Bombyx mori: one gene and its partner. Each later gene encodes a partner of the first gene's protein in a complex. Links are inferred from orthologs where the notes say so. Each region holds a gene or a part of one and is shown on either strand. Other genes may lie near its edges.

Region 1 (13,111 bases):
ATCGAAGAATGTGAGGAGGAAGAAATTCTAGTGGATTCAGAAGACGAAGAAGAAAACACCGTTTCTGGAATAAACCGGTCTCTCACACCAGTTCCCATACAAGACTTCGCCGCTAACGTCGTTTATACAGAAGGTTGGCTTAAGCAATACGCTGGCACTTTACTGAAATTCAATTCGACCATAGAATAACTAAATCTAGAAGCAACAAGCTGTCAAAAAAGTATAGTTTCTTTTTCTAACCCCGCATCTAATAAATCGTTGTGGATGTGTATGTATAAATATTTTCATTTTCCATAAGAATTAGAGATTTATAGTAATATTTTCATTTTCCATAAGAATTAGAGAGGTAGGTATTTTTTTATTGCTTATATGGGTGGACGAGCTCACAGCCCACCTGGTGTTAAGTGGTTACTTAAGCTCATAGACATCTACGACGTAAATGCGCCACCCACCTTGAGATATAAGTTCTAAGGTCTCGAGTATAATTAGTAGGTAGGTAGGTAGGTAGTAAATTGTCATTTAAGGACATAGGACTGCACCTGTTGCCAGCTAGTGACAGTAGTTTGTTAAGTCATTTTGTTTTTATGGCGTGTCTCACTGTTTGAGTGGAAAAATAACCTTGGTCATACAAGGCGATAACAGCAACACTAACGTTCACATGGAAACTGCTAGCTACTACCATAGTAAATACTTCCTTCCAATATATAGGTAGTGTAAAAAGTCTGCAAAACGCCAAGAAACCGAAACCATAGGTTTTTTCGGGACGGAGGGATTGCTTTTCGCTCCGAGGTTATTACAACTTCGCCAGAATAGGTGAGCAAGCACAATCTCACCCAGAAAAGTTGGTGTTTGAAAATGGACGAAGCCTATCAACTCAAAGGCACCTAATTTGCGAGTGCGTCGACTACTGGGCCGAAAATATCGACCCGCTGAGAAGAATCGGTGATAAGCTCAGCGGGCTGATGCTACGGGATAATTGTCACGCCCAACTCCTCGCCGAGAGCAGCGACCTGTGTAATGGCTGCTTCTAGTGTTAGAAATAGAAGCATCTATGTTTCAAGAGGTTTTAGAAGACTTATTAATTATTTAGGTACCGACTTATTCCTGTTACAAGGGCCCTTGAATTATTTTGATCTGATCTACTTTGTTTATTTTACAAATGTTTTGGTAGCTCTTCAAACTATCTATTTGCTTCAATTTGAGAATGCGTTATTATTATTTCAGGCCCTCAAGCTACTGATTTCTTGAGAGTGAAGACAACTGAAGGCGATTGCTACACTGATGTATCAGATGCAGACACCGAAGAAGAAGAAGAATGAGATCAAATCTGTTTATATTCACTAAAATTTATTTATTATTTCATATCATATTATACAATTACGTACTTATTATTTATTGCAATGTAATTGTAATCGTAGAAAATTTAGTAAAACTCACCAACATTTAATATCAAGATACAAGTTTTAAACTTATTTAAATAAAGATAAAAATTATATAATGAGTTTTGAAAATATGTTATTATCATACTAACTGCCAAACCGCAGCTTCGCACGCACGCACTAATTCTCTTGCTTAACTTTCATATAAAAGGTATCTCTTCCCCAGGGATCAAAATATTTCCATACCCAATTTCGTCAGAATCGGCCCAACGGTTTTGGCGTGACAGACATTAGTTTCATATAAATAAAATGAAAACCTATTAATTTTGTAACATCCTATTTCAATGAAACAAATATTATATGCTGTCCTGTATTCATATTATGATTTTCTGTTCCGAATTAACCTCTGTATACTAATGTATACAAACTAAATAAAAATACATTCAGTAGTTCCAGAGATATGAGCGAACAAAGACAGAAAACACAGACAGAAAATTATTCCCAAATCCCAAAAGAGCGGTTTATTTTCTATTCCTACTCCTTAGTTACCCTTTTTCTATTTTTAAGCGACTTCAAAAAGAAGTAACGCTGAACCTTGTTTTTGAGTAAAAATATTAAATATTTTTCTTTTTTATAATGAATGCACATAAGGAGATTAGAGGTAACGAAACTCTCTTTTATTGGTGACAATTTGAAAAAATGTCCAACTGCAAGTTAATTGCAACATAAAAAATCCACCAAAACAGCGCTATTAATAATAAGTCGTATGATATGAATATCGCAGATGTAAACGGAGTGTGTAGTGATGAATTTCAAAAATAACAGCCAAGAGAAGCTAAAATAGCCCCTCAAGGCTACCAGTGCTTAGGTTAAAAATATATTAACTTTTGGCGCTAAATTCGATATTACACCACTTGCTACGGGGGCGCCCTCAGCCTATTAATGGTTACTTTTCGACAGGCGCTTCTTAAGCACAAAGGTTACTCCTTAGTAATAGCCTCCGTAAATACACTACAGAACTTAGGATAATGTTGCCATAAATTAATTTTCTTATCTAGGGATGCCAAACTGCACAGACTACATAAAAATACACAGATCACGTAACTTTATTTATTTATTCATATATACAATAATATCAAACTAATTTGATAATAGGAAAGTGTCTATGTACAGAGAAATCAAACTCGGGCGATGTAGTTGTGTCGGCTTTGTGTCCTCCCGCTAATAGTTTTAAAACGACAAAATTTGTTTTGGCAACTTTGAGCAGATCTTGCACCTGAAAATAAATTTATTTATTTAATAATTACATTACTCTGTGGCCAGTTTACGCATATATATTTTTCAATGAACTACCCTCCATGTAGTTTCACGAGAGCTATTTCATATCGTTCTTCAAACTAGATTAAATAAGTCAATATAAAAATAGATAAATAGATGGATATGAGAAATTTCATTAAAATTCATTCAGTCACTTCTGTAATTTAGTAAGCTCTAAGAAACAACAAAAGATACAAATTTCCACATTTAATGTAGATTATATAATTTTACAGTACAGATTACTGCCACCCAATTGTTCGTTTGTTGATATATTAGGTGTTTTGGTATTGCTGGTCTAATTTACTTGAAACTTGATATTTATCATATACATATCAGGAAAGGTTTTCGTCATAGTACCACAAAAAGGTGGTGAGCTAATGCACTTTTAATAAAACAGTGTATTTCGTACATTCAACGATGGTCAGTTTAGTAGGATGTTATTATATTTAGATTATAATACCATAGTATATTTCAGATATCTTCCTAAAATCTCAAATTCGACTTTTGATTATTCAGACTTTCATTACTTTGCCTATATGTCACTTTACTGGTGGTAGGACCTTTGTGAGTCCGCACGGGTAGGTACCACCACGCCGCCTATTTCTGCCGTGAAGCAGTAATGCGTTTCGGTTTGAAGGGTGGGGCAGCCGTTGTAACTATACTGAGACCTTAGAACTTATATCTCAAGATGGGTGGCGCATTTACGTCGTAGATGTCTATGGGCTCCAGTAACCACTTAACACCAGGTGGGCTGTGAGTTCGTCCAACCATCCAAGCAATAAAAAAAAATAAAAAAAGTAGGAAGTTTCACGTAACATAGGATCTAGTAATTAGCTTTATTGTTGTTTTTTTTTTTTAAACGAATCCTACAGAACCATTTCGATTACTGTATTAATAAAAAAATCTTACCTCTTGATCGGGAACGGTTATAGTTTCCAATAAGGAACGAGCTTGTTGAAAATGTTTGTAGCCACCGAGATACAGAATCACAGGGTTCTCGTACCTGCAATGTAACAAAACATATTATATCGAGGTGTGTATACGCGACATTTATCTTTGTAATTTAGGGTGCGTCTATATTTCAATTAAGTTCCATTTAAATGGCTAATAAAGTTTTTTTGTTACGTTATCTTTTCCAACTTCTAAACTTTAAATGACTCTCTTGTAAAATAGGAAAAATGTCATTTAAACAAAACCATCTTTTACGCCTCGATATTTTTTTTTCCATCTGTACTGTACAATCGTGAACATTTGTTAAGTACGTATTCCATTAGAAAAATTGGTACCTGCCGGCGGGATTCGAACACCGTTGCATCGCTACATACGAATGCACCGAACGTCTTATCCTTTAGGCCACGACGACTTCCATGTTCTAACATGATGGAGCGTAAATAATGCTAATAAAAAATTTTAAAAATATGATTTTTTTTTTAAATCTGTATCGATTTTTTTCCCGTCCCATCATGATAGCTGTCATTACTAACTTTAACTCCTAACACCCAGCATACACAGGTCGACGACCCGACGATCGCGCGAGCGTTACTCGAAAATCGACTCAATCGACTTGTGTCTTAAAGCTGAAAACTCACTGCAGCGGCTGCGTCATCTCGCAGAACTCGTGGTAGTGGACTTGGGGCGGACTCAGGCCGGAGAGCGGCGCGAACCGGTGCTTGTACCGGACCGCTTCGTTGTCGAACTCGGACTGCGGCTGACGGATCTTCCCTTGCAGCTTGAAAGCGACTAACGCCTGCGGAAACAATCAAATTTATAGGGGGGTGACACTGAAAATGGTTAGAAAATCAAAAACTGACCAAACTAGAAAGTTATTCTCAATTTGATAGACAGACACAGTAACAGACTTTAACAATAAACTAAAGAGCATTTATGCGTGTGTGTGTGTTTATGTCAAATATATGGTAGTGTGTGTAATGTTTTTTTTTATTGATTTAATGTATTATTAATGTATAACTTAAAAAATATTAGCATTCTGCATTCCTTCTCTATGTTATCTATAAGTGTGGGAAATACCATATTTCTCCATTTGCGCAATTTTCGTAAAAAGGGGTACAAAGTTTTTGTAAGTTACGTAAGGTAAGTAATTACGATTACCTTAGTCGAAATGAATAGTGTTATATTTGTATATCGACGCTTGAAAAGCAAACGTGACTAAGCGACAATGCGTGAACTTTACAGTGGACTAATTTAAAGTTGAAATGCCTGAAAAAAATCTATTTTAACGAATCTAGCTGTAGGATTGAAATGAATTTAATAGACCTAGAAATATATATTTTTTTGCGCATCGAATATGGTTATTGCCTGATTTATGTACAAAGCAGTTATTGTCGCTTAGTCACGTTATACCGAACTATATTGGAAACGGCTCCAACGATTTTCATAAAATTTAGTATACAGGGGATTTTGGGGGCCATAAATCGATCTAGCTACGATTTATTTTCAGAAAATATTGTTTTATTCGTGTTTTCAATAATCAACTCTTCCCGACAACTATTGTCATCATCATCATCTAGTTACCTTATAATATCCCCCGCACATGTTCTGCATGACTTGACACATGAGTCCCTCCCTCGCGTAAGGGCGCGTGCGTTTCTTCTGTTTCCGTACACCGGCACGTTTGCCTTCTATTCTCTTGGTGGTCTCGTTGGCCAGGCCTTCAGCTCGTCCCAGGGCCGACACCAGCCAGCCGTACAGAAACTCGTACAGATACCTGCGAACACCATTTATTACAGCCGTCATTTCTTTGTATGTACTAGTGGTCCCCAGTGATCGAAATTCGACCTTCGATATTAATTTAAATTATAGATTACAAATCTATTCTCAATCTGACCACAGATGGGTGAACGGGCTCACAGCCCACCTGGTGTTAAGTGGTTACTGGAGCCCATCGACATCTACAACGTAAATGCGCCACCCACCTTTCGATATAAGTTCTAAGGTCTCAGGTACAGTTACGGCTGCCCCGACCTTCAAGCCGAAACGCATTACTGCTTCACGGCAGAAACAGACAGGGTGGTGGTACCTACCCGCGCGGACTCACAAGAGGTCCTACCACCAGTCAAATTGAGACTTCGACCTCATATCACGAGGTGGACTGACGCAATTCGTGTCCGTAACTCACCAGAAAATATAATGATATTCATGTACAGAGTACAGTTCCAGTTCTAAGCCGGAGAGTAGATACGCGATCATTACACGCAGCACGTGGTACAGAACCCAAGTGCTGAAGCACGGACAATCTCCAGTACCCATGCTGCCACTCGTTATCGCGTCCACGCTCTCCGCCTGAAAATACAATTACGGAAAACTTATATCACGAAGTATGTACATCAAATTAATTAGCCGAGAATGTGCTTTTAGTTAAACGAAAACGGCGCAGTGGATATCGTTCCAAAAGCCGTCTCGAGCAATCTCTTACTGGTGGTAGGACCTCTTGTGAGTCCGCACGGGTAGGTACCACCGCCCCGCCTATTTCTGCCGTGGAGCAGTAATGCGTTTCGGTTTGAAGGGTGGGGCAGCCGTTGTAACTATACTGAGACCTTAGAATTTATATCTCAAAGTGGATGGCGCATTTACGTTGTAGATGTCTATGGGCTCCAGTAACCACTTAACACCAGGTGGGCTGTGAGCTCGTCCACCCATCAAAGCAATAAAAAAGAATCTGTATTCAAACGTTAGCATGACTTATCCTTTTAAAATTCGATTCCTTTTAAAAAGTTTCGTGAACCCGCAACGGACGAGTACAAAACTTAGGATTGGTATACGCATTTTCCGAATTATACATAGTCACTGGAGGACATTCACTGTGCTTGTGCGTCTTTACCCAACAGCTACTTTTTTGTAGTACATTGCGTCTTTTTTTATTAGTATTTACTAACTGTCATTTGACTTTCTTTTCGACCGCATTCTTGAACATTAAAAACGAAGACTTTAAAAGGGGCATTTTCTTCAATACAGAAGAGGATTCAAAAATTAACTTATTTATGTTATGCCATAACTATTTTATCGTTTTATTAAAAGTTTTTAAAGTAAAACTTTTATTACATCGTCTCAAACTTTTTCGTCTGTGTGTTGCATGTCGCGTGACGGTCGGCCGCGGAGTAGGGACAAAGTGAAAGGCGCTTGTCAGAGCAGCCAAGGCCAATATGGCGGCGCCTATAGTTCGCAGCAGCTGACCGTGTAGTGTATTTGTTAGTGCCCTTACAGATAATACAACCATACCTCTTCTTGCAAAGTAGCGAATTCATCGAGCAAGAGCACCAGCTTATCCCGCTGCCTGGCGCGGTTGTGTCCGCACACTTGCAGCAACACGGCGAACGGACGAACGCATCTCGTCAAAAAAGTCTCGACAACTTCTCGCGCCTTCAATACAAACATATCAGTTTTAGCAGAACATGTCAACTGATTGACGGACCGTACCACGACTCAATATTAGGGTTGTACGATTTTTTCAAAGTGAAAACTTATTTGGCATAAATGCGATTTGAAATATTATTTAACTATACAGTGAATCATTTCTCAAGGTGACCCGTAACATTCTTGTTGGAGTACCTATGGAGTCAAACAGTCAATTAACAATTGGTTGACTCCCTTATGCCAATCAAAGCGTGAAAACACATCAATAAATTTAACAAGAAAGCAGCGAAGATTTTTTTTTTATAAATTGCATCCTTAAAGCGGTGCAAAAGATTATCTACAAATATTTTATTTTCTTTGATACTATTGTGTATGGTCTGACTAACCTGCGGAGTGCCTGGCATCATTGGTTTATTAATTAAAACCGGTGGATTAACGAAATTCTTGATCGAATCTCTGAGGATCTCAATGAAGATGTGGTGGGGCCGAGGAACTCCCGAGGGAACGGTTTGCGCAGTGGCGGCCGTCGTCGCCGGAGACGGACTCAGATACAGTAGCTGTAGTGCAGATCTCGATAAAATACAAGCGCGCTGACGGCTGAATTCCATGAAGAAATCCTGAAATATAGATAAAATATTATATTGAGCAGTTTTTAATAATAATAATATAGTATAATAATATATTCAATATAATATATAGTAAAAAAACAACATAATAATATAGTATTGTGTCATAGTTACTAAATAGTGGTTATAGTAGAACATATTACTTGTACATAAACCCTTGTATTACTCTGGAAGGAACATTCAATAAAACATGGTAGATTGTTCTCAAAAAAATTACCATATTTTTATCTATACACAAATCTTACTATATAATTTTGTAGACTTTTTGGCGGGAACGCGATTAGTGAAATTGTGTGATTTGTTTTATTTTGTCTGTTTAGTGTTTCTTCAGGTTTAAATGTGTAATAGCGGTAGTTTATTAGTGCACAAATGTGGGAAAATGAAACAAAGCTGCTGAACGTAACTTCTCGGGATCCTCCAAAAAGTCCACTGAAAAAATGTCAGTAACTGAGCATCATTTTACTGAGATTATATTTCATTCCATATCATCTCATCTCATTTAATTTAATTTCATCCCAGTTGATTAATGTCTCAAATTAATCATCTTCATTTCACTTCATTTCACTCCATATTATCATTTTTCATTTCATAAAAATAAGAATATAAATTAAAATAAGACCATGACCTTAAAGGTCTTAGTTACCAGGTCATAAAATCCCTTAAAAAAAAAACAATAGGAGTGGGTAATATCGGTTTTGCCGCGTATCGAATCGTATCTATGTATCGAGGATCAATATCGGATATTGAATCTATATATTTTCTGAATCTATATATTGATGGATGCTAGTAGATTTTCTCGATTCATGATATTTGAGATTTGAAACGATACGCTGATATAATATCGTAGTAGATATAGATTTAAGTCAACGTTATACGGTTGGTTTTCTGATATCAATTTATAATATGATCTTAAAGTAATAAAAAGAACATGAAAATAAAAATATCAAAAAAACTTTCCTTCATGCTTTTACCAGGCTTAGGACTGGCTACATTATTTTCAGTTTTTAGTATTTTGTGTCTTAATTTAAAATTACAAAATATACCAAAAGAGTGTAGATTTCAAAAGTTTAATACAAACACAAGAAATAAACTCAATTATTTGGATTCAACTAAAAATAGAAAAATGTGTACTTTAAAAATCAAACACAAAAAACTTTTAAGTATTTATAAACACTTGTCCAAAAATTCTAGTTCAAGGTCAAAGCGCGTGAAATTAAATTCAACGATGCAAATAGGCTATACTGCATTCAAGTTAGGGTCGAAAGTTGAAACTTCTTTCCTTAATTGTATCCTGCTGATACGCTAAGAATAATCTACAGACATATGGACTTAAATATAAGGTTTACAATTGTATGGATAATGCCTGTTTCTGTTTCATTCATCACATGATATCCCTATCGTGCGCTCACTCACTCTGGCCGATTCGATACGAACCAAACGAATATTGCTGATATTAACGAATCGGTACGATATGCCGATGCGCATCACATCGAGCAATATCGTGTATCGGCTGATATCGAAATATAGATTTCGATTCACGAATCGGTACGATATGGCGATGCGCATCACATCGAGCAATATCGTGTATCGGCTGATATCGATATATAGATTTCGTGCGGGGCGATATCGGATTCAACGATATTGCTGCGATATATAGATATTGAATCTATATACGATTTATATCACCCACTCCTAAAAAACAATAATATAATTTTGTATTTACAACTAAACATTACCACTGCCGTGTGGAAGTTAGTGCAGGAGGTGATCTTCCAAGCGTGACGGAGTCTCGAAACGAGCTCGTCGAAATACTGAAGAGCTTCTATTCTTGGTTTGATGCGGGTGTACCGCGGAAACGTCGGAGGGAGGAGACGCTGGTTTATCATTGGCTCAAATCCCATTGGGTTCGGCGAATCGGCTAAAAAATAATATTAAAAGTTCACATATAACACTCTTAACGCTGCGCCATGGTTGCTGTATGGCTGCTGCTCCTATCTTCGGTATTTCCCCGGAGCTGTGTTATGATACATTCTTTTTCGAGCAAAGTTCAAGAAGTACTGGTGTTACTGTTGCTAGGACCTCCTGTGAGTTCGCGCGGGTAGGTACCACCACCCCGCCTATTTCTGCCGTGAAGCAGTAATGCGTTTCGGTTTGAAAGGTGGAGCAGCCGTTGTAACTATACTGAGACCTTAGAACTTATATCTCAAGGTGGGTGGCGCATTTACGTCGTAGATGTCTATGGGCTCCAGTAAACACTTTACACCAGGTGGGCTGTGAGCTCGACCACCTATCAAAGCAATAAAAAAAAAAGTATGGATGGTAGTCCCGAGGTATGTATCAGACATCAGGTTCGTATCTTGCTCTATCTTTGCATTGCTGATGTTCACCGGCAGCGGTGATCAAATTCCATCTGATGAGTCTCATCTAGCACATCTCACAATCAAAATGAAAGTCGAAGAATAACTGCATTTTATTTTTAATGTCTTTTGGAAATTATAATTTTTCATAAACATTGATGATCGTTTTAATTGAATTCTCTTGCCGTATAACTACTTTATGAATTATTTTACTATTATTTTAGACATGGTCAACTAGTTGTTTACTGTGATGGCTTCAACTTCCAAATCAATAGAGAATAACTAACGTCCCTATAAAAAATAGACAAAGCTATGAGCTAAATGGCTTTGAAGCGATACATTGCACTCAACGAAGGACATCAAGTCACTTCATTTTTTTTAAGCAGATTTTCTTTATAAACATAAAACTAACAATGAAAGTTTTAATTCAAAATGTAATGTAAAATGTAAATTTTTTTCTAATGAAATACGTACTCAACAAATGTTCACGATTGACTTCCGCGGTGAAGGAATAACATCGTGTAATAAAAAACAAACCCGCAAAATTATAATTTGCGTAATTACTGGTGGTAGGACCTTACGTTAGTCCGCACGGGTAGGTACCACCACCCCGCCTATTTCTGCCGTGAAGCAGTAATGCGTTTCGGTTTGAAGGGCGGGGCAGCCGTTGTAACTATACTGAGACCTTAGAACTTATATCTCAAGGTAGGTGGCGCATTTGCGTTCTAGATGTCTATGGGCTTCAGTAACCACTTAACACCAGGTGGGCTGTGAGCACGTCCACCCACCTAAGCAATAAAAAAAAGAAAAAAAAAACTAATTAATTTCCTAATCGAATAACTAAACTTACAGTTCTCCACAGGCTGCGTTCCTTTGCCTGAAGTTTTAATGATAACTTTCATCATTTCCGAACAACCGTTCAACAGGGCGACGCAGTCGGCTCCCGACTTCGAATCACGCTTTGTTATCAATAGAAGAGCTTGGTAGAACATTCTAGTGAATCTTATTCTGGCCGCTAGTGCTGTCCAAAGGATATTTGCCTAATAAAATCATGAAAAAATAGCATAAATTTATTACAAAATTTTATACAATTTGCCTTTCTTATTCATACTCAATAACTCACACATGATTTTCAGAATTTGTATTGTATCACTATTCCATTTTTTTTTATTTCCATCACATTTATATTAACAATTATTTTTCCAAAATAAAAATATTTTACGTTCTGTTGCTTCAACCACCTGTCGGTGTGCTTACCTCAGCTTCAGTATTCTTAGTTTTTTTGTTTAGTTCTTCTTCCTGCTCTCTGAGTAATGAAATACATTTGGACTCAGTAACTTCCAGACTGGCGTCGTAAGTATGACCTGACTGTGGATTTGAGCCTAAATAATACCCATATCCCATTGGCTGAAAATCTTCTTCTTCAAATACTTGAGCTCTGAAATAGAAAAAAGATGTGTGAAATTAAAAGAATTAAAAAATCTATACACATTTTATATAACATTTATATAAATTTTCCATAGGTTTTAGGGCACAATTCATGTAGAAAGTAAAGGTCAGACTGAAAAATTGACTTCTACTTTAGCCTTTTTTTTATGTAGCTATGTATGGGGCAAACACACACAACTGAGCCTGGTCTTCAGCTCTCCTTGTACATTTCTTGCTAGCCAGTCTACCCAAATCATCTGTGATCGCCAACAAATCTGATCAGCATAGAGATCATAGGCATTTTCTCCATGAAAGAGTCCATAGATATCAAGACTAGAATGTGGCCCATCATGTGATGAAACTCGATTTCTATTTTAACAACTACAGCCGGAGCCTACCATTCAAACGAACACATGACCATTTTGTAGCAAAAATAAGCAAAATGTTGGTAGCTGTCTAGGCTCACAGACAATTTTCACTAGTAATTATGCAAAGTTATAAGTAGCAGGTTTGATTATGACCGGTTGTATCCAGTCAAAACTTATAAAAAAAGTTGTATTTGATTAAACGTTTTCACTGCTCACCCAATGTAAAGTGGTTGTAAAAGCTCACTAGCCATTACAACACTAATGCCGCCACACATATTAGGAGATGTGGTCAGTCTTGTTTGTATTGTATACTGGCTGTCCTATTTTTTAAATCTGAATGTGTCACGCGCAAGAATGGGTTTATTCACCACTTTAGTTAAATTGCTTGATTCAAGACACTAAGTGTCTTATCTATTAAGCCACAAAAACTTCAAAAAGGTTCACGAGTCATGATGCATTAGTTGTCTAAATAATATAAATAAAAAAATCTTTGAATTTACATACATAGAAAATAATAAAATATCTTTCGACAAGTTTGCAACTTTACAGGAAAGCCGATTAAAGTTAAAAAATTTGGAAAAAATATTATTACAAAAAAAGTTCCTCAGTTATTTAAATGCAGTAAAAATAATTGAAGTTCAATTAAAAACACTGAATTGTTTATACTAATACCAAATAAAATGTACCTTTAATTACAAAGATAAATGTCTAGTATCAACCGAAATGTTGCTTAAACCAAATAGCCTTTCCCCCTTCTATATATAATAATAATAATTGCTTTCTATTGAAATCTTAATCACAAAGAACAATCAAATCAAACTTACTGGTTAATACAATCTCTTATGCAATCCAACAGTTTGTAAACTGCTATACAGAATGCCTTCAAAATTTTGTTGTTTATTGAATGTGGCTGATGTAGGTACAGATTAGTAAAAACGGTCTGAGCAAGAGAATGTCCTTCCAACCAGGAAACAATACATGCCATTGTTGCATCTATGATTCCAATCAGTTCATTAGGTTCTATGTTATCAATCTTCAACTTGTCGGCCTATATAAATAAAACTTTATATTACACAACTTAGTCTTTATAGTTAATGAGTTTACCACATCTTTTTGCTTATCACTTTGAACTCTGGACTCTTATATATATATGGCAGTTTCCAAAACATAATATAAAACTTAGTAAAGATATTTGTCATTAGAGTCACAAATTTAATAGATAGATATACTGGTGGTAGGACCTCTTGAGAGTCCGCGCGGGTAGG
Region 2 (13,464 bases), on another chromosome or scaffold:
ACCATATAAGTTACACAAATTTACTCTCTTTTAGGTTTTGATTTCAATTTACGTAGATAAGGATGTCCTTTCCTGATAAAGAGCAAAGAAAAAAGTGCTGGGACGCCAGAGATAAATACTGGGAGTGCTTAGACTCTCAGAATATCAAGGACAGTTCACAGAAACCATTAGCTTGTACGAACTTTAGGAAAATATTTGAAAAGTCCTGCCCTACCCAATGGGTTACGCATTTTGATAGAAAACGAGATTTCAATGTATTTAAAGAAAAAATGCAAAAAGAGGGTTATGAACCCATAAAAGATTCACAATGAATATGTTTAAAAAATATGTTTTTGTTGTATATTTTTAGTTTAAGTAGTAAATTATTATAGATTTGAAATTGCAGTTTTATTGTCCAAACCATTTAATAGAATACGTTTTTTAAACTGGACATTCTATAAACATAGGTTAGTATAGTAAGATAATACACAAATTATTGTTTATGAATCAATTTATTTTAAATGGGTTTTTTATTATTAATTTCAGACTTAAAAACTAGAATGGATGAAATTCTCGAGATCTTGTTGTGTGCAAATGAAACCAAACAAGAAATAAAAGTGGAAATTTTACAGGTATTAAAAATATAACAAGTTAAATTGTTGGAATATTACAAAAGTAATGAGGCAGAGTAAATATGAAATCATACTTTGTGGTTTGTTTTTTTTTTTTTTTTTTTTTTTTTTTTTTTTTTTTTTTTTTATTGCCCTTGTAGGCAGACGAGCATACGGCCCACCTGATGGTGAGTGGTTACCGTCGCCCATGGACTTCAGCAATGCAATTGTTTGTTTGTGTTTCATAAATTCATAAGTCGTTATTGGCATTTTAGTGAAGATTTTCATAAAGAACACATACAGTACACAGTTTGTATGAGAGTAGTTCAAACAAATAATCATAAAATATTACAGATACTCAAATATATTTTTATAAAATTATATTTCATGTACATAATAATTAATTTCAGAAAATTTTACTGATGGCAAAAGAGTGTGATTCAGGGAAGCATTGTAAATCATGGAATAATATAGCAAACTTATTGTGGAATTCCTTGCAAAAAAAATTTAGCAAAATTGATGATCAATTATTATGTTCCATATGCTTTTATACAATTGCTTCTTACACTGATGATTGTGATAGGTATATCAATGGGATACAAAAAATTCTTGAATTTGAGATTGAAAATTTAAAACCTGGCAATTTGAAAATTTCACAATGCAACATTGCATTAATGTATGGTTTATTCCAATCAAATTTTCTTACTTCTCAGTGTGCAGGAGATATAATTAATTTTACTAGAGTTTTGCAATTAACCTTTGATTTACTAATTATAATGGGATATGAATACACGCAATTCACTTTTCTTGCCTTTAAAATAATGAAATCATTTAAAAAAGTATGTAATACTAAATGGCAAACAACAATTTTTAAGAGAGACAATCAAATTAAATTAATGAATGTTATCAATCATAACTGGGAAAACCCCATTACTGGAGTACGAGATCTACTTAAGAGTATTTTTAATACTCTATTAACTACTCTTGATGATGTATTGTACCTTTTAACACTAAAAGAAATTAATCAATTTTATTGGAATAAGGCCAAGTATTTAATGCTCTGTGAAGTAATTCATGTAGACTGCAAAAACATTTTAGTATTAATGTCTGAAAATGATTGGGCTCAGGGCCTTTTTAGCAGCCTCAATATTCCCAGCTTGGTGTCTGCTGGAGCTGATATGTATTTTGCAATTTTGAAAAGAATAAAATGTGTCGCCGAATGGTGCAACATTTTTCTAAACTCCACCATTAGCCTTTTTCAAGAAGGAACAGAGAAATCTATTCAAAACTTCAGTAACTATTGGTGTCTAACAACTTTAAAAAGATTTCCATCTTTACTGGGAGTATTCATAGAAAAGATAATGAAAAACAACTTTAAACAAGAACCATATGCTTTGATGTGTATCATAAAACAAGGTAATAAACTTGGAATTTTTGAAAAAGATTGGAATTTGTACAGCGGCTCAAATAATATCATGAATACGGTAGAGATGGCTTTGGAACACAAAATTGCTCCGCTGCGTATAGACGCTTTCGATATTGTTTGTGTTTCACATAGTAAATCACTGCCCATACAAAGGGAATACACACATGTTCTGGAGTACTTAAAGAACAATATGAACTCAGACTGCACTGTACTGAGATTAAATATGATGCGAAGTTTAAAATCATTTTTAAACCAACTACACGTTTCCTATTTAAACTATATGAAAACCTACAAAAATTGTGATGTAATAGATCTCATTTGCTTTTGTAAAAGCTTGCAAGAAATAGTATTTGAATCTTTAGAGTTGAATGGCAATTATCAAAGGAAAATAACAGCAGTTAAACTGACTTATTTGATTATGGAGTGCTTCAATGAAGTTCCTAGAAAGAAGAAAAAACAGATAAGACAGACTAACACATCTCTACTGCATTATCTAAAAACAGAGAATCAATGGTTTTTGGGTGGAGAAAAAATGACTGAGATATTAATTAAGCTTTTGAAGGATCCTTCAGATGATGTAAGAGAAAATGTAGTTCAATTATTACTGAAATACTACTTAAATGAAATACAAAATGCGAATTTCCTAAACAATTTGGCGACAGAAGCTCTTTCTTGCATTAGAAGTAAATTCTTCTTTGTAAGTAATTGTGGTCAAAGTATGTTGAAATTACTCAGTAATTTATTATTAATACCCAGAAACATTGAAACAAAGTATCAAAGCATTGAAGAAATTTTCAACTATGCTTATAATGAGTTACTATCTGAATACAAAAAGGATATAATGACTTCAATTGAAAACGAGACACAATTATATTCATTCATAAATATTTTGATAGTAGTGCTAGAAGTTTGTATTGACAACTCATTTAACATACGATTATCAACTGATACAATTCATGAGTTAATTCGTGTTTTGCAATATACTACCAATCAATTCACTTGGGAGCAAGATAATTGTACTAGTTCAGATTTTGCAAAAATGAGCGAAGTGGTTGAGGGAATGATAGCTCAATCTGAAAATTCAGCTTATAATGAAAACGATGAAGTAAAAATTTCAGGCATACATCAAATTGTTTTGAATTGCCTTTGGTTAAACGTTAAGGTAAGTTTTTAATTAAATAAGGTTATTATTGTTATTATACATTTCGTTACAGGAGCAGTTTACTACTCAAACCATAGTCTGTATGAACGAAAATTTGGTGAGAGACCTATATCCCAGGCCTAGTAGGGTAATTGAAAACAAGTTTGTATATTAGCTGTGAAACATAACATATTAGAACTGTGAAGAAGATTTATCCAGGATCAATACTTTTTTGCCGCTTTTTCAATGAGTAGCCCTAGATACTCCTTAAAGGAACATTGATTCACGGAGACTCCTTCGAGATTGACACGGTTCGAGCGGTATCATTGATTTAACGAGCAACTGTAGCTCCCACTCAAGTGGGATTAGGTGGGCTGCAGCACACTCATCTAGGTACCTACCTACTTTAGTTAGCAACAAAAAACCATGAACATGCGTATACTATAATATAAACCCCCTTTACATAATTTGTACATATTTGTAGTGGGACATTATAAATCTATATTGATGTGATATTGGTTTAGACTATCTCTAATTTTACCGCAGAGTAACTTTGCGGTCTGTGTGTTTAGTGCGAGTTTTTTAACGTTATCGATAGCGTAAAAGTTAGCTCATATTTGTGTATGGAATGGGATCGTTTGCCTATGTTTGCCGCTAGGGGCGCTGTTCCAACTGCATACAAAATTGGGCTAACTTTTACGCTATCGAGAACGTTAAAGAACTCGCACCAAGCAAACTGAAGCTTGCCTTACATTGAAATCAAAATCCTCACATATCATGTTGAGCGATGTCATTTTCGCTGTCGAGAATTGCGCTTCAGTAAGCACAACTCCAACCTTTTAATAAAACACTAAACGTTTAACACCCACTTTACCTAAAAATCTAGAACATTGCCAAGTCTTGCGACCACTCGCATGAGATGTGTCAACACCGAACAATTTGAATAACAATCAAAATATTAAATAGAAGTACATATATTGCAGGCATCGTGTGATTTAGCTTCACTCTTGGTGCAATTTAATAAGGATGACTTTGAAACATGTAGAAAATGTTTAGAACTCATTACTCACGTTCTAGAGAGCTCACGACATAAAGGGGCAATCGAAGCTGCAGGTGCAGCATTAGGTAGGTATCATGATATATAGCATGATATATCTTTTAATTTATTAAAAAATTAAGGTTTTTTTTTTTTTTTTCAGGAAAAGTTATACAATGTTTGACATCTTTACCTGAGGAGTCGAATATTTTAAATTCAATGAATAGCTTCCTTGAATCTAAATTAAACGAGTTGATATCTAAAGTCTATAATATGGCATCCATAACACGAAGAGGAGCAGGTCTTCCTATAATGGTTCACAGAATTGTTTCAAGTGACATGAATAAGGGAAAGGTAATTTGAATTTGTTCACGAATTATGGTAGAATATTATTTTACCAAACAAATCTCATATGCTATTAATTCTTTCTAGCCGCTATTTCACTATTTTTTAAAGAACATATTGGAGCTGTGTAACTCCGTACTCGATGTACCCAAACTAGAAGACAATGCTTCCGTTTTAGAAAACGAAATGGATTTACCTAAAGCTATCTACATCCACTTCTTAACAAAAGTAGTAACTGACAGCAGTTTGGCTTGTGACGTAATGTACTACTCATCAGAGCTCTCCGAACTGGCGTTTTTAAACCTAACCAGCGAACATTGGCAAATAAGGTATTTTTTTTAGATGAATAATACCTCAAAGGATCTTACACATTGATAATATGTTCGGGTATTAATCGGAAAGTAGATGAGATTACCATTTACTCTTTTTACTTCCTCAAATGATACCTCAACTTATTTAACTAGGTACCAAAATCTACTGCTCTAAATTAAATATAAAGCGTAGGCCGTACGGTTGTAACAGTCATTGTTCGCACTTCGACGGCGTACTCGACGAATTGAGAACAATGACTGTTAAAGATACTATACTGTTTTGAAGTTTTTTTTAATTGGCTTTGTAGGTAGACGAGCATACGGTCCACCTAATGGTAAGTGCTTATCGTCGCTCATGGACTTTAGCAAAGCCAGAGGCACAGCCAAGTCGCTGCCTCGTGCCTCGATTGAAGATGGTCGTTATTCCGATGTTCAACTAGTTCAACCTAAAAAGATTAAGATAGGCTACAGCACTCTTGTTTCGGTGTCTGGGCCCTGGCAAACTATACTAGATTCATTTCGATAAATGAAACTAATTGTTTTATTTCTATAATAGGAACGCAGCTTTACAACTTTATGGTGCATTGATTCCACGACAAATAGGACAAAAAAAGGCCCTTGGCACTGACGATAATACAATTGCGACGGTAGCTTGGGACGAATTGCGAACTCATTCTCCAAGACTGTGGAAGATGATCACGACCCGATTACGTATAGAGAGCCAATCTATTCAAATAGTGTCTCATTCGAATCTAGTACCCATTTTAAATTTATTGGCCAGTTGCGCAAAGAGATATAATCTTTCTTTTGATTGCGAATCACAGGTTGACGAATTGCTGACAAGTTTGATACTACTATTAGGTAGTCCAATATATATAGTCAGAAGGTTATCAGCTAAATGCATTTCAAATAATTTTAAATTTGAAGAAATTGGCTTACTGTCATATGGAAAATTTAATTCTGAAAATTTTATTCATGGTACGCTTATGTTGTTGAAACATTATACAGAGGAATCTCTTAACATGGATACATTTGATAAGACGAAAAGTTATATTGAAAATATTTTAACAAATAAAGTACATTCATACTTATGTAAACAATACTTTGAAGATATATTTTGTAACAAACCTCTGGCTTTAAATGATATAGAAGATACCTTTTTCGTTTTAGAAAACAAAATGTATGAACCAGGAGTATTTCTTTGGGCAGATGCGCGTTTACAAAAGTATCTTCGGACGTGTCCGTGGTTTGAAATTCCAAATTTATTAAAAATGTTTTTCAATCATGAGGGTTATGATAGATGTCTCAAGTATTTGCTGTTGAAAATGAAAAGAGATATGATTATTTCCGAACCTATTCTCTTAGAAATTACAAATACTTTACTGGAGTTTAACAAAAAATATGAAAGCAGTTACATTTGGAAAATTATATTTGAAGTGTCTCTAAGGACTGATTTAACTAAAAGTTTTGAGATTATTTCCTTCTTAAACAATTCAGTGGACTTGGTGTTTTCATATAAACTTAGGTACATTGTTCCATTAGCAGCAAAAGTACTAGAATGTTTAGAAGAAAATGTTCAGTTGCATTTTTCTAAAATTATATGGCAATTGTCTGATCCTAAGATGGATGTAAACATGCGGCACATCGCTGCATTAGCTAATAATAAAGTTGCAGAAGTATTTAAGAAATTACCTAAAATTGTGAAGATTAACTCTCTGAAATCAGCCATTATTTTATTACAAGATGAAGATGTGGATGTCAGAAATTTGAGTGTCATTTTTTACAAAAATATAAGTCAAGAATCTGCCGAAAAACAATGTTATATCTGCCTTAAAAGAATTATGCAAAAAGAGTTTCTAGAAAGTTTATTTTGTGAACCAAATGAAATTGAAATGCTTTTTAATGACTTGTCTGAAGTACTGCAAAATCTCAATAACAAACAAAAGGATGAGTTTAACCCATTTGCTAATGAACTTAAAAATATATACTTAGAAGTAGATGTTTTGCAGCAACTTTTGGAAAGTTTGAAGAACTCTGATTAACCTAAATAAAGTATATGAGATAAAGAAAAAATGTTATTTGCACTCAATTATAATAACATTTATTTAATTAGATATTCATCATAATAGTATGTTTGAGATGGTGTTGTATCATCAATTTGTATTGACACAATGTGTCTTCCAGGAACCATGACTAGACCTAATACTCTGGGTTCTTCAGTTTCTCCCTCATTATTTTTCAAGTACTCTGAGCAAGCACCTAAAATACAATTTATATGTAACAAAATTAGGTATTTCACCAATCATAAAAATTGATTGGTACAACTTGAGCCTATACATTTATTAGCTACAGACAAAAGGATAATATGTTGATAATCAGCTAATTTCACTACTGCTTTCAATGTTTGTCTTATACCATTACCTATAAGGATAATTATTTATTATTTAGGTTCTGGCATTTTTGTGCTCATAACACACGAACACTAGCTTGGGGCTTTAAATGTATAATATTTGTTTGTGTGATTTTTGTCAACCATACTATATATGAGTCGACTATTATCAAAGCCGGCAATGTGACTTTTGGATAATTATTGGTAAATCAGAAAAACGAATTATTGACTTTGTATTCCATTGGCAGTCACAAAACTCTTCTGAACGACATCTTAGATAAATAACAGGTTAAGTATTAACCTTTATTTAATGCAGGTTTTGAACCGTATTCTTTGAAGGAGACGATTATATTCAAATCAATCTGTATTGAAATATCAATAAAATTTTTTTGTCCAAATGCACAGATTGCTACCTTTGATAATAGACGACTCATATAAGCACATGATATACTATTGGTAAACCTACACACTTGTGATATAATATGTGAATTCAATAATTTTTACAAGATTGTATACTCAACCTACAAGAGCTCTATAAAAGTATTTAATCCATACCTAAAATTACATTTGCATCTCTATCTGTACACAGGAACACTCCTATCAGAACTCTGCCATCGGTCATTTCAATTCTAAATTTCATATTTAACCATTTTCTAAGTTTTGCCTTTCCTTCTTCCTCCACCACCTGAAGTATACAATTATTAAAAGTAGTAGGTACTATCTAATCCATTATGTCTATGTACAGGTTTGAAATAACAAAAAATATTTAAAAGGAATTATTTTTATATCTCTTGTTCATCCTTAATTATATTTCATGGGAAATAAGAGATCAAGCATTACTTTGATACCTAAATCTAGCGTTACTCAGTCAATTACATTTAATTATGAACTATCTAAATATCTAGAATTTATGATTATGTCAATGTGTAAACATCAATAATTTAAATGATTTTTCCTGGAAGGCCAAATAGGAATATAACTTGTATTAATGTTAAAAAAGCCTGAATCAAAAGTCATGTACGTAAAATTAATTAATGAAGGGAGGCGAAATTTAGCAAATATATAATTGGCTTGTCTACATACAATATTATTCTTTTAAAAGAAGTCTTATTCACTTTCGATGCTAACCTAAATATTATGTATATTTTATTTGTAGACGTGAGTTTATTTTTATCATACCTGAGGTGCTTCCGAAGTCGTTTTATTGCCTTCATTACTCATTTCCTTAGCTTGTTCAAATCTTTATCCCTGAACAATAAACGAGTTTCTTGCTAAAGTCTGGAAGTATTTTTATACGGCATTATTTTGTAGCCAGGTACATGGTTACACCATTGAAGTAGGAAACCTAGGTTACACACAAAGCATTTTTATCTGTCATGTAAAACTTAATTTGACCAAATCAAAATCAAATATTTTTTTTGAACCATAGACCTTAGGTTTCAAGGTTTCTTATTTCAGTGGTTTGAACTCTCAAATGTAATTCTCTAAGTTAGGGGATTTTATGACCTGGTAACTAAGATCTTTAAGTCAAGTCTTATTTTAATTTTAATGAAAACTTTTTAAATGAAAAATGATATTATGAAATGAAGTTGATTAATATGAAACATGGCATGAAATGAAATGAAAACGAAATGAAATGAAAATGATTAATTTGAGACATTAATTAAATGGGATGAAATGAGATGAGATGATATGGGATGAAATAACTTCTTGTTCTTCATAACAGCCCACAGACGTCCACTGCTGGACATAGGCCTCCCCCAAGCCTCGCCACAAAGACCGGTCCTGCGCTGCCTGCCAGCGGATCCCCGCGAACCTCAATACGTCGTCGGTCCATCTTGTTGGAGGCCTACCCACGCTATGTCTTCCGGTACGCGGTCGCCACTCAAGAACTTTCTGGCCCCAACGGCCATCCGTTCTATGAGCAATGTGTCCTGCCCACTGCCACTTCAATGTCGCAATCCTTTGGGCTAATCGGTTACCATGGTTTTCTTGCGAATCTCCTCATTTCTGATTTGATCTCGCAGGGAAACTCCGAGCATAGCCCTCTCTATTGCTCTTTGGGTGACTTTGATTCTTCTCATAAGGCCCATTGTGAGCGTCTACGTCTCAGTGCCATATGTCATCACTGGTAACGCACACTGGTCAAAGACTTTCGTCTTGAGACACTGTGGTATTTGTGATGAGAAGATTTTACGTAGCTTCCCGAACGCTTTCCATGCGAGCTGGATTCGACGGTTGACCTCTTTTTCGAAGTTGGACTTACTTAGCTGGACAGTGTGTCCCAGATAAACTCGTCAACAACTTCGAGCGTTTAATTTTCCCTCATTTGTGCAGTTTCATTATCATCTCATTTCATTTCATTTCATTTCGTTTTCATTTCATTTCATTTCATGCCATGTTTCATATTAATCAAATTCATTTCATTTCATAATATCATTATTCATATAAAAAAGTTTTCGTTAAAATTAAAATAAGACTTGTCCTAAACTTGGTCTTAGTTACCAGGTCATAAAAACCCGTCAATAAATTATGCTTTTATTGTTATTTGTCATGACAGCTCTTCAAGGATTTTTTGGCGGGAACGCGAGGAGTGAAGTTGTGTGATTTGTTTTATTTTTTCTATTTAGTGTTTCTTCAGGTTTAAATGTGTAATAACGGTGGTTTATTAACAGTTAAATACATTTGAAAGTGCACAAATGTGGGAAAATGAAACAAAGCCGCTGGACCTAACTTCTCGGGATCCTTCAAAAAGTCCACTGAAAAAATCTCAGTAAACGACCACTATTTTACTGAGATTATATTTCATCCCATATCATCTCATCTCATTTCATTTAATTTCATCCCAGTTGATTAATGTCTCAAATTAATCATCTTCATTTCATTTCACTTCATATTATCATCTTCCATAAAAATATCCCATATTATATCATCTTTCTTTTCTTTTTTTTGTATTGCCCTTATAGGCAGACGAGCATACGGCTGATACGGCCTACCTGATGGTGAGTGGTTACCGTCGCCCATGGACTTCAGCAATGCCAGGGGCAAAGCCAAGCCGCTGCCTACCGAAAATCTCATCTTATTTAATTTCATGCCATGTTTCATATTAATCAACTTCATTTCATTTCATAACATCATATTTCATAAAATAAAATAAAAAAATATACAAAAAATTTGGCTGTATGGTATGATGCCTTTGCCTTTCCATTTGGAAAAATAAAAGTACTACTGACAGCTCTTCAACTTCTTAGTAAAGATAGTTTTATTGTTATTGCATAAATTCCGAAAAGTACATACATACTGTATGTTATGATTTAATTATTATGTCTCAGAGTACAGGCGTAGATTTGTTTATGAAGCAATTTAAATATTTTAAATCTAATAAACCACAACCATCTCTCAATAGTGTCATATCTGTGGATATTACAACTTCAGAGGTAGGTAAATTACCAAATCCCTTTTAACAAATTAACTAAAAGGGAACGGCGTTTAGTCATTACAACACTATTCTGTACACACCACTCTACACGCCTCTATACAAAAGTATTTGTTTCCACTGTATAATGACCCTAGAGCTAACCTCTAACCTTTGCTGGAGGCCTAAGAGGCTATTCCAGTTACGTCCGGACGAGTAGCTGAGCTTACGAGCTCAACCTGAGAAGATTTGCTAATACTAGCCCTAAAAAGAGCAGTGCTTCGCAGATTCTACCACTGGATTGGAAATGCGACCCACTGAGAAGATCAGGCCAAGAAACTCAGTGGGCTGTGTCTGTGCGTTAATTTACTGGCCGAGCTCTTCGTCGCAAGCGATGGATTCGACAAGAATGATGACCAGTACCTGGGGTACCAAAAAGGACCTTTAGTAGATCAGGAGGATCTGCAATGACGTATTTTGGGCAAAGTTGACTGTATACCATTTGGTCCGCAGGATATCGGGAATGTAGTTACCGGACATCTATGCCCACAAAGCCTTTGAAGGCAAAATGAAGCTACCCATTATTGCAGTTGCTTTTAGACATCTAGGACACATATTTTACGAGTGAAACAAGATCATCCCAATGTATATTGTATGTATAAGTACACGTATAGCCAAAAAATAAATAAATTCATCCACTTTTGAGAAAGATGTGAAATGTTGAATGTTGAATTTTACCCCTAATTTTGCTCACCAGTTTAAATTATATTTTCGACACATGTTCAATTTAATATTATTGATTGTAGTATTTAGTGGCCAATGATAACATTAGCATAATTTAAACTTTGGCATTTATTTTTCAGGTGAAACTTTTAGAATGCAATACAAATTATAAATGTGAAGACAATCTTACACAGTGCTTAGGTTTGATAAACAAAAACAAATGGAAAACTTACAGTTTTGTTCAGCACCCTGGTTTAATGTTAATAAGGAATCCATTCACTGGATCTGGTCAAAGATATTGGATCAAAAGATGCTTGGAAAGATATCCAAAGAAACCGAATAAAATAAATATTGATATAGAAATTGATAATTTAGATGACTGGTGGAGAGAATGTCACAAAAGTATGGAATGTGATAAAAAATTGTTAAAAAAACTTAGGTGGACAACATTGGGTTATCATCACAATTGGAACACAAAAGTAAAATGTTATTATTATTATTTAATAAAATTCAGTTTTGTTTTAAAGAAATATGTGATGAGATTACACTTAACGAAAAAAATAATAATTTATTTATTTATTAAAAATTATGATCAGACAATAATATTTGTTTGCCCTGTTTGTAGCAAGTCTGCAAATTTAAAACATTATTTGAGCTTTAAAAAAATTAGAATAAACTTATTTAGGTTAGCAGGTAAATTCATGACCTCTAGGTTTGTCCAGTAATTGAAATTCATCCAAAGGTACTCTGTGATGGGTATATGATTATCATGGAACCTGCAATTAATTTATTGAGATGCATTACAAGTGTAATGGCCCCACATGACCCTTAGGGTATCTGATATCTGTGGCACCATTATCTATTATACTATATTGCCCACAATTACACTAAGTTAATACAGCATGTGCCTTTAATAAAAGTCACTAATAGTTCTAGACTCTTAGAAATTTTTTATAAGCTTAGTAAGCAGATGAGCTTTCAGTTTACATGGTGAAAAGTGGCCACTGCCACTGATGGATATTAGTAATGTTAGGAGCCACACTGCTGCTTATCTTATAATACTAATGCTACATGGTTGTAAGGGAGATAAATATGCACTATACCAGAAGCAAGTGTTCCCAGCTAAACCTAGTGAACTCTGCTTCAGTAGTGTCAGTAGGGGGTGGTTTGATGTTAAGAAGATAGGAAAGTAATGTACCAACATTTAATCCAGTGTACTTTGTCGTTCAGATCGCTAATATGCACAGCGTGCTTGTATATTTACATACCCTTTTGTACTTGATTGATTGCATACAGATCATTTAATCAAATGTGTTTATAATATAGTGTTACATTTTTATATTATAATATACTTAATTAGTTTAATATAGTGCTTTGAAATAGGAGAACAACTCTAGATTAATAAACTGTTTGATATATTGCAAAATATTTATTTTCATTTTCAGGCATATAGTGAAGAGAACAAGACTCCTTTTCCAGAAGATTTGTCAGAACTGTCAAGTGTCGTGGCTCAGTATCTTGGATTTGCGAAATTCAGAGCTGAGGCGGCTATTGTTAATTACTACCACAAGAATTCTACACTGTCCGCTCACACTGATCACTCGGAGGTCAACTTAGATGCACCATTATTTTCATTTAGGTACTTTCTCTAGGCTTGTCGGTAGTGGTTTATTTATTTGTTTTTAATTTATTGACGTATTTCTGTGAGATTATATTAATAATTATGGCTCAAAATTACAAATTCAAAATCAAGATACACAAAACAAAGAACAAGAGCCCGTGTTTAAAATAAAAGCAAGAAAAATCCCATTTTAAGTGTACGTGAGCGCTATGATGTCTATGTAGACCGACTGTCTGAATGTTGTTCGGAACTTGTATATATGCTTATTTTGAAAATGTCGTAAGCGAGATTCAGGCATCTGTCAAATATCTTGCGTTGTATGATGGCTACCCGCCACAGTTACTCGAATTGTGTTCAATTCCAGTAAATTCTTTAAAATTATTGTTTTCAGTTTTGGCCAATCTGCTATATTTTTAATAGGGGGCCGGGAGAAGTCCATCGAACCATCAGCGATACTACTAAAAAGT

Evidence for each region.
Region 2: N-alpha-acetyltransferase 35, NatC auxiliary subunit (region 1) and N-alpha-acetyltransferase 38, NatC auxiliary subunit share a complex: the UniProt entries of both Drosophila melanogaster proteins name them as parts of the N-terminal acetyltransferase C (NatC) complex. The link is inferred for Bombyx mori from reciprocal best matches to the Drosophila melanogaster genes Naa35 and Sbat.

Annotation. Positions count from the first base shown.
Region 1 is NC_085111.1:6,430,558-6,443,668, reverse strand, and holds the end of N-alpha-acetyltransferase 35, NatC auxiliary subunit, read right to left. Parts: intron 12,895-13,111; coding exon 12,671-12,894; intron 11,489-12,670; coding exon 11,308-11,488; intron 11,091-11,307; coding exon 10,901-11,090; intron 9,612-10,900; coding exon 9,430-9,611; intron 7,685-9,429; coding exon 7,454-7,684; intron 7,074-7,453; coding exon 6,933-7,073; intron 5,997-6,932; coding exon 5,833-5,996; intron 5,422-5,832; coding exon 5,229-5,421; intron 4,444-5,228; coding exon 4,286-4,443; intron 3,700-4,285; coding exon 3,606-3,699; intron 2,656-3,605; coding exon 2,515-2,655; 3' UTR 2,476-2,514; downstream 1-2,475. Other genes in the region: uncharacterized protein LOC105842451, read left to right, coding at 1-133, 1,225-1,319. UniProt on the Drosophila melanogaster protein: Auxillary component of the N-terminal acetyltransferase C (NatC) complex which catalyzes acetylation of N-terminal methionine residues.
Region 2 is NC_085124.1:7,601,756-7,615,219, reverse strand, and holds N-alpha-acetyltransferase 38, NatC auxiliary subunit, read right to left. Parts: upstream 9,044-13,464; 5' UTR 8,460-9,043; coding exon 8,418-8,459; intron 7,924-8,417; coding exon 7,794-7,923; intron 7,109-7,793; coding exon 6,951-7,108; 3' UTR 6,925-6,950; downstream 1-6,924. Other genes in the region: uncharacterized protein LOC101745429, read left to right, coding at 540-611, 1,001-3,178, 4,141-4,282, 4,357-4,547, 4,626-4,867, 5,406-6,891; nucleic acid dioxygenase ALKBH1, read left to right, coding at 10,562-10,675, 11,517-11,855, 12,822-13,015, 13,389-13,464. UniProt on the Drosophila melanogaster protein: Auxiliary component of the N-terminal acetyltransferase C (NatC) complex which catalyzes acetylation of N-terminal methionine residues. May have an accessory function in the survival motor neuron (SMN) complex.